Linked DNA regions of Macaca mulatta. The protein of the gene in region 2 purifies or fractionates together with the protein of the main gene of each other region. This does not show direct contact. Links are inferred from orthologs where the notes say so. Each region holds a gene or a part of one and is shown on either strand. Other genes may lie near its edges.

Region 1 (4,318 bases), on a different chromosome or scaffold from region 2:
CCATGACTTTCATCTCTACGGTGGCTGCCACTGGTTTCTTGCCTCTGTCTTCAGCCATCTACAGCCACCTGCTCAGCATCCATGAAACACTCCACGTGCCCATCTCCAAAATCCTGGGCACCCTGCTGTTCATCGCCATCCCCATAGCAGTGGGCGTGCTGATCAAGTCCAAGCTCCCCAAGTTCTCCCAGCTGCTGCTGCAGGTCATCAAGCCCTTCAGCTTTGTGCTCCTCCTGGGCGGCCTTTTCCTGGCCTATCGCATGGGGGTCTTCATCCTGGCAGGCGTCCGGCTACCTATCGTACTGGTGGGTATCACAGTGCCCCTGGTTGGCCTGTTGGTGGGCTACTGCCTGGCCACATGTCTGAAGCTGCCTGTGGCCCAGCGGCGGACGGTCAGCATTGAGGTAGGGGTGCAGAACAGCCTGCTGGCCTTGGCCATGCTGCAGCTATCCCTCCGCCGCCTTCAAGCTGACTATGCCTCCCAGGCCCCCTTCATTGTGGCGCTGAGCGGCACCTCCGAGATGCTGGCCTTGGTCATTGGCCACTGCATCTACAGTAGCCTGTTCCCAGTTTCCTGAGGCCTCTGGGTCAAGCTTTCATCAGCCCCAGCCCCCACACTCCACCAAAGTTCTCATGCACTATGCACTCAGAAAAATCCAGGCTTATTTTTTTTACTGATTTTTTATTCTCCAGCTTTCAGTGCCACAGAGGCCATGCTGAGTTAGGTAGGTGGGCGCTGCCCAGAAAATATATTTCAATAAAACAGAGAAGCAAGCTTGGGTCCCTTCTAATCTTTGCCCTTTGGGGCCTGGGCGTGGGGGTAGAAAGAGTGTGCTGGGTAGGTGTGGACCAGGGTGGAGGGCCAGCTTGGGTGACACGGTGACCCCTGCATAGGCTTTCTCTATCAGCCCTCCCGGGGCGTGTCCCCACTGTAGGAGAGGTGGGAGGATGAGGGCAGAGGCTGGCCCCCCTACCCCCTCTCAAGCTCAGTGGGGTGTTTCGCAGCCAGACCAGAAAGGAGGAGCCAGAAAGCCACCAGGCAGGGAGCCGGCGGGGGGGGCGCCGTCTGTGGGTATGCAGGGCCAGGTTCCGCCAGCAGTAACGGCGCGTGGGGTGGTCCAGGCAGTCTGCGGGGGCGAGCGTACCTTCTGGTCCTTCCTTCTCCATTCCCTAGCTCCCAGATGACGCCAACCTGGCCCGACTAGTTCCTGCTCCCAACTCCCCGGCGCTGTTGCTTTGGGAGGGGTCCGCCGGCCAGGGCGGTCGCTGCGCGTGTGCTAGGCGGGACCCCAGGGGCACTCCTCCCGGGGTGCAACTGGGCCGGGGGGCGGGGCCGGGGCGTGGACGAGGCAGGAGGGCGGGGCCGGGAAGCGCGGGCGGCGGGCGCGCCCCTCTCGCTGCTTCCGGCGGCGGCGGGCGGTTCCAGCGCGCGCCCGGGGCGGCGGCGCGCGGCGGGGGGTGGTTGGGGTGCGCGCCGGCCCGAGTGGACGCCGTCGCGACCGCCATGCAGCTGACGGTGAAGGCGCTGCAGGGCCGGGAGTGCAGCCTGCAGGTAGGGTCCCCGGGCCGGGCGGCCGGGTCCGGCGCGCTCTCTCGCCGGCTCCTGGCAGGGTGACCAGCAGGGCCAAGGGCGGGCACGGGGCGGCCGGGCCGGGGACTGGGAGCCGGGAGAGCTGCCCTCGGGAGCGGACGCGTGGGCTTCGCCGCCTGGGGACCGCGGCCTCAACCCTTGCCTCCCACCCTCCGCGCGGCCAGGTGCCGGAGGACGAGCTGGTGTCCACGCTGAAGCAGCTGGTCTCCGAGAAGCTGAACGTCCCCGTGCGCCAGCAACGGCTGCTTTTCAAGGGCAAGGCCCTGGCAGGTACCCAGGGAGAGGAGACGCCCAGGGAGCCCCGCAGGAAGCGGGACTGGGGTGCGCGGGCCGAGGCCGGCAGCCGTGTAACGGGTTGGGGTGCCGGCGCCAAGCGCCACATGACCCCAAGGGAGGCGGCCGCATGCCTCACTGCCGGATGCCGCAGCGCTCCGCTCCCGCCGCCCGAGGCGGTCTCGCGTCCCGGGCCACCCCCACGGCGGCGGAGGAGGAGGAACCCATCGATCTGTCTTTGGCAGATGGGAAACGACTCTCGGATTATAGCATCGGGCCCAACTCCAAGCTCAACCTAGTGGTCAAACCCCTGCAGAAGGTGCTACTAGAAGAAGGCGAGGCCCAGAGGCTGGCCGACTCCCCACCCCCGCATGTCTGGCAGCTAATCTCCAAAGTCTTGGCCCGCCACTTCAGTGCGGCAGATGCCAGCAGGGTCCTGGAACAGCTACAGAGGGTGAGAAGGGTAACCCTGGGTATCCTCTCCAGGCCCAGTTCCTCCCAGCCCCTACCTCTGTTGCAGTGTATGGCTCCCCACTGGCAGCCCCTGAATCTTCCTGCCCTTCTCTCCCCAGGATTACGAGAGGTCCCTGAGCCGCCTGACGCTGGACGACATCGAACGGTTGGCCAGCCGCTTCCTGCACCCTGAAGTGACTGAGACGATGGAGAAAGGCTTCTCCAAATAGCATTCTCGGAGCATGGGGAGGTGCCCAGTGCCAGGCCACAGCAGCATGTCACACTAAGTGTGTTCACCTGTTGCAGTTGGGCTCATAATAATAGCTGGCATGTACCTGGCTCTGGCCACGTGCTAGGCACTCCTCACAGCTTGACCTGGGTTTGCTTCCACACCCTCAGAAGAGGTGAGCCAGCACAGCAGAGGCACTGGCGGTGAAGTGGCGGAGCCCCAGTCGGAATCCAGCGGCTTCTGAAAGTGCCTTGGTGTGAGAAGGAGGAAGGGGCTGCTTGGAGAGCTGGGCTCTGGCATGTCATGTTTAGCCCACTGAGAATATACCCTCAGGTGACTCCTTCCCAATCCTGAAAGGGAAAGCAGCTGTCACCTGACCTCTGGCGGGTCCAACATAGCCTTCAGCTTACCTCTGCAGGAGGCCAAGTGACAGCCAGCCCTGGAACCACCACACCCCCAGCAGCTGCTGCAGCCAGTGTGCTTTCGACAAATGAAAAAGCAGGTTGGGGCCAGGGAGTCAGCAAGTCACCCCAGCTCTGTGATGTGACTTCGGGGGAGTCTCAGTGCCACTTTGGTCCCCAGCCACGGACTTTATACAGTGAGGGCCACTCCCCGACCTGAGTCAGTGTCCTTCGTCTCACAGTGCCCCCCTCCCTTCTGTTCAGTAAACAAACTGAAGCCAAAAGCGAAGCAGTGGCCAAGTGTGACCCAGAGATGGGGTGTCCTGGCCCTTAGTGACACAGCTCCTCTCTGGGCACCCTGTCTGCTTGTCTCCTCCAGGAAGCGTTAGGGCTGATGGGTGACTCAGCAAGGCAATGTCAGAACTGGGGCTGGGCATAGGCCTTTGTCCTCGTCCCCAGCACTCGCCTCCCTGTGGAAGATGAACACATCAGCCACCTGTGTACAGCCGCTCACTTCGTGTGCTCCTTGTTGCCTGAGAGGAAACCTTGGGGTGCCAGGGTGGGGACAGAAACATGGGCTGGGTTCCGGTTCCTTCTCCACTGTGCCCTGTGCATGGGCACAAGAGGACATCTAGCCACCTGCTCCTTGGAGGCCCCCAGGGGTGGTAGAGGCTAGAAGGAAGCCACAGCAGGAGGACGCCACTCTGGGCCCTCCACCCTTGCCAAGTGAGCCGCTCACAGTGTGGTCGGGGCTGCACGTGCTGGAGGCCCTCCTGCCTGGGCCTGATGGGGCAAATATTGGGTCCCCGGGCTGGAAAGATGGACAGAGGCCCAATGGGTGAAGGCTTTGAAGAGCACACAGAAGCCCCTGGCCCCCCACGAGAGCTGGAGAGCCATGTATATGGCTTCAAAGCCACCTATGGCAGGGACACACTTGTGAGCATGGGTGGCCTGCAGCTCAGGTGATACATTTACCAGTGCTCTTGTTTGCGTGGTGCCAGGAAATTGATTTTGGAAAATGAAATAACATTAAAGGTGAATGTGAGACTTCCACTTTTATCCAAAAGGAGCTATATTAGCTAGGCTGTTTCTGATATCCAATCATTGGTTTAACAATAAAGGCAATTTGTTTAATCAGTAACGGAAATTTCTTGGCTTATGAAAGTGAAAAGCCCAGTGGTATCGGCATTGGCAGCAGGGGAGCAATTCTTCCAGTGTCTTCCTGCCTCCCTCTGCGTTTGTGTCTGCCACATCCCAGGCCACCACCTCCAAGGATGAAAAGGTGGCTGCCTGCAGCTTCCACAGAATCCCTCCCTCACTGCCTCACTGCCAGAGCAGCACCTTCTCTGTAGCACCTCTGCTGTCTCAGAT
Region 2 (4,299 bases):
TTTAATAAATGGTGCTGGGAAAATTGGCTAGCCATAAGTAGAAAGCTGAAACTGGATCCTTTCCTTACTCCTTATACGAAAATTAATTCAAGATGAATTAGAGACTTAAATGTTAGACCTAATACCATAAAAACCCTAGAAGAAAACCTAGGTAGTACCATTCAGGACATAGGCATGGGCAAAGACTTCATGTCTAAAACACCAAAGCAATGGCAGCAAAAGCCAAAATTGACAAATGGGATCTCATTAAACTAAAGAGCTTCTGCACAGCAAAAGAAATTTCATGTACTCTTCACAGAACCAGCGCTGAAAGCCTTTTCTGTCTCACCAGATCAGCCTTGCAAGGGGATGAGAGTGGGGCGCAGGCGGCTGAGAGCCTTGCTGGGAATCACACAGGTCGTCCGTGGAAAAGCGTGTACCAAGACCCAGGCCTCTCTGGAAGGTGGGCAGAGGAGGCGTTCGGAGGCAGAGGTGGAAATGAGAACAGGAAATCTAAAGAGAGGTGGCGGACGAGAAGGGGCAAAGGACGTGCAGAGGAAGATAGAGATTGAGGGATGGTGATAGGGCAGTGTAAGCAGCAGAAGGGAAGGGCAGGAAACTGCCTCGAAGAGAAGGGGCAGCGGCAGCACGTCAGGGGCTCTTGGTGAATCTCATTCAACAAATGGCAAAATGGAGCCCAAGTGGTTTGCCCAAGGATGTCCAGCACTTGGCAAGGTGGCAGCTAGAACCCGCGTCTCCTAATGGCGGTCCAGGGATCTTTCTTCGCCTGTCACAGGGACAAGGGGCCAGTGCAGCGCTAGTGCGGAGAGACAAGACTCTAGGCACGGAAAAGCAGACGCCGGGCCGGGGCTCCAGCGCTGCAACCACGGCGGTGGACGGAAAGCTCTGCCGACGGCTGGGGGCGCCATGAATCGTCGAGGATCCGGGGAGCCCAGTCCAGCCCTTCCTAGCAAGCGACCGCGAAGCGGCAATGGGACGGTGGTCGAAGCCTGCCCACAGCTTCCGCTTCGAAGGCGGCGTTGGAAATGCCGCGCCAGTATCCTTCGGCACCTCCCGAGAGATGGTCAGGAGCTTTTGGAAACTTTAGGTCAGGGGCCAAAGACCAAAAGGCTGGTATTTCGGAACGGCCACATCTCCTGAGAAACCTCCAAGAATAACAGGTTGCCGGAAAAAGGTTAGAGAGCAGCCGAAATCAGCCGAATGCCATTCGGGGGCTCCGGAGTTTCTCGAGGCACATTCGGGCCCTCTCGGCTCTGCAAGACTCCACTGGAATCTCAGGTCTCGAGCAGATCGTTTCGTCGCCTAAAGGGTAAGGGCGACTTGTACCGACAGTCCCTCGGCAGTTTCCGGAGGTGTTCGGGATAGGCCCGAGCGTGGCGCCCTCTGGCGGCGACCAGGGGTGGGGTAGGGGTTAGTGGGCCAGCGCGCGCAGACGCAGCTGCGCGCCGGCGGTCGTTCAGACCGGATGTGGTTGTGGCTGAGGTCAGTTCCGGCGGGTGACGGTGCGGACGGGTCAGGAGCGTAGAGGCGGCGGCAAAATGGCGGCGCCTGAGGAGCGAGATCTAACCCAGGAGCAGACAGAGAAGCTGCTGCAGTTTCAGGTAGCAGCGAGTACTCGGTGCAGCAAATGCCTCCGCGGGATGGGGAGTGGGCCCCTAGAGGAGTTCAGAACTTTCCTCAGATTGGGCTCAGATTCTTCTTAGACCAGCAGGCCGACCCCCTCCCCCCAGACTCCAACTGCCCTGATTCCCCCGGCCCCCAAGCCTCTGTTGGTCCCTATCCTTCCAGCCATCGCTGCGGCCAGACCCGCCTCGTTTGTGCTTCTGTGCCCTCAGCGTGTCAGCTTCCCTGGTTTCCCTTAGCGGCGTCAGTCCTCAGCCATCCTTCCCAGCCCGGTTATCGGTCGGACCCTCTCCGCCCAACGAGTCTGTATCTGCCGGAGACGCTTAATCCCTACCGCGGAGTTGGCGTCAGTTCGGGTCTCTGACAGAAAAACCTCCTGCCAACATCCCATGCCATTTCCACAAACATTCCCACAAACTGAGGCCTCTTGGATACCAGGTTTCGTGTTGGGGGTTCCGGTCGGGAAGGGGGCACCTACACACAGACCTGGTCCCCGCCCTAGAGGTGTGGGAGGACACCAAGTGAGAAAACAATGCAAGGTGCTAAGTGTCATCAGTGGCTTCTGACGGGATTTATTACTTTTGGCTTATTCCTGGATTCCTGTGCTTCACTATGCTTGAGGAGGGTGGTAACTTGCAGGAATGTTATGTTAATACAGGACGTCGTATTAAGAACGTTTGCCACTAATCACTTACCCTTGAGCTGGAGAATGGTTGGAGGATACCACTAGGGTGGGTAACCTTGGCACTTTGTTACCAGTTTCTTATCTCTGAAGAGACTGTCTTAAAAATATCTACCCCCAAGCCGGCCGCGGTGGCTCACGCCTGTAATTTCTGCACTTTGGGAGGCCAAGGCGGGCGAATCACGAGGTCAGGAGTTCGAGACCAACCTGGCCAATATGGTGAAACCCTGTCTCTACTAAACATACAAAGATTAGCCGAGCATGGTGGTGCACGCCTGTAGTCCCAGGTACTCGGGAGGCTGAAGCAGGAGACTCGCTTGAACCCGGAAGGCGGAGGTTGCAGTGAGCCGAGATCGCACCACTGCACTCTAGCCTGGGCAGCAGCAAGAGTGAAACTCCGTCTCAAAAAAAAAAAAAAAAAAAAATCTACTTCCTGAGGATGTTCTGGAGATCAAATGGACATATGGATGTCAGAAGGGCCTTGTGAACTGTAAAATGCCCCCAAATAGTATTTCTGCTATTAATTTGACTTAGGATAGACCTAACGTTATTGATACACTTATTTCCTTATATAAAATGTGTAAATATTCATTTATTCAGCTATATTTATGAAGAACCTTAGTGCTCAGCGCTGCTAGGTGGAATCCCACTTACTATTTCAGATGTAAGTACTTTGTAAACTTAGTGTACATAACCTCATTTAATACAACAACCCTATGAGGTTCATACTGTTACAGTCGCTGATTTACAGATGAAGGGTATCAGGACCAAGAAATAAAATGCTTAGGTTACACAGCTAGAAAGTGATGATGTCAGATTTAAAGCTATGTCCATCTTCCAGAACCCTTCCCAGGCTTCTGACTTCTGTCTTGTACAACTTATATGTCAGTGTACAGTTGAGTGTGGAATGCAGATGCTGAGATAATAAATATTTTTTTGGCGAGTTCTCACTTTTCTGCAATTTCCTTGAATAGACTTCACTATAATAAATTTTGAAGTGGTTATTTTTTCCCCTCTTAAATTGAGCAGTGGGTTGGAAGTGTATAAATGGAAAAATGCTGTCGTAGATGTAATTGACATTTGATTGGAATTTTTGGTAGAGAAATTGAATTGATGACCCAGCAAATTATAATTAAAGAATGAGTAAACAGCAGACAACCAGCTTACACTTCCATTACACTTCCAGGTAGACCACCAATTTCAGAGTGTTGTTTAACTTTGGCAGACCATTTTACCCCCTAGAACTCTTCAGGGGTAAGCTAACATGTTGTTTAAGTGCAATGAAGCAATGTGAGTTATGGTATCTTTAGTCTCATACTGGGAGAGCATGAATATGAATATATGATAGCATTTCTGAAGTAAAGTGCATAGGAACTTCCATCTTATCTTCTGTGGAGTTTTTTTTTTTTTTTTTTGAAATGGGGTTTCGCTCTTGTTGCCCAGGCTGGAGTGCAGTGGCGCGATCTCGGCTCACTTCAACCCATGCCTTCCGGTTTCAAGCCATTCTCCCGCCTCAGCCTCCCGAATAGCTGGGACTACAGGCATGTGCCACCACACCCAGCTAACTTTTTGTATTTTTAGTAGAGACGGGGTTTCACTATATTGGCCAGGATGGTCTCGATTTCTTGACCTCATGATCCACCCGCCTTGGCTGGGATTACAGGCGTGAGCCACTGCGCCGGGCCAGAACTGTGGAGATTTTTATTAGAAGAGAGGTGGGTAGCAGGTTTGAGCTGTATTAAGATTGCCTTATGAAACTGGATTTATTGAGGGAAATGCATCTTTTTTTTTTCCATTCTATAAGCAATCGCTGGATCAGATTCATTATCCAAATTGCCATTAAACCAACATTTGTTGAAACTCACTAGATGCCAAGCATTATACCAAGCATCAGTTGATGTTCATTAACTCTTTTTTTAAGAAAAATATTTTAGGCTGTGTGCGGTGGCTCACGCCTGTAATCCCAGCACTTTGGGAGGCCGAGGCGGGTGGAT

The links.
Region 1: the proteins of FAF2 (region 2) and UBL4A purify together in Homo sapiens (affinity purification with mass spectrometry; 3 studies listed by BioGRID and IntAct, with this or other methods). This does not show direct contact. The link is inferred for Macaca mulatta from reciprocal best matches to the Homo sapiens genes FAF2 and UBL4A.

What each region holds. Positions count from the first base shown.
Region 1 is NC_133426.1:160,668,925-160,673,242, reverse strand, and holds the start of UBL4A (ubiquitin-like protein 4A), read left to right. Parts: upstream 1-1,496; 5' UTR 1,497-1,504; coding exon 1,505-1,552; intron 1,553-1,755; coding exon 1,756-1,861; intron 1,862-2,109; coding exon 2,110-2,318; intron 2,319-2,436; coding exon 2,437-2,547; 3' UTR 2,548-4,318. Other genes in the region: SLC10A3 (P3 protein), read left to right, coding at 1-578. UniProt on the Homo sapiens protein: As part of a cytosolic protein quality control complex, the BAG6/BAT3 complex, maintains misfolded and hydrophobic patches-containing proteins in a soluble state and participates in their proper delivery to the endoplasmic reticulum or alternatively can promote their sorting to the proteasome where they undergo degradation.
Region 2 is NC_133411.1:185,388,142-185,392,440, forward strand, and holds the start of FAF2 (FAS-associated factor 2), read left to right. Parts: upstream 1-1,477; 5' UTR 1,478-1,538; coding exon 1,539-1,601; intron 1,602-4,299. UniProt on the Homo sapiens protein: Plays an important role in endoplasmic reticulum-associated degradation (ERAD) that mediates ubiquitin-dependent degradation of misfolded endoplasmic reticulum proteins.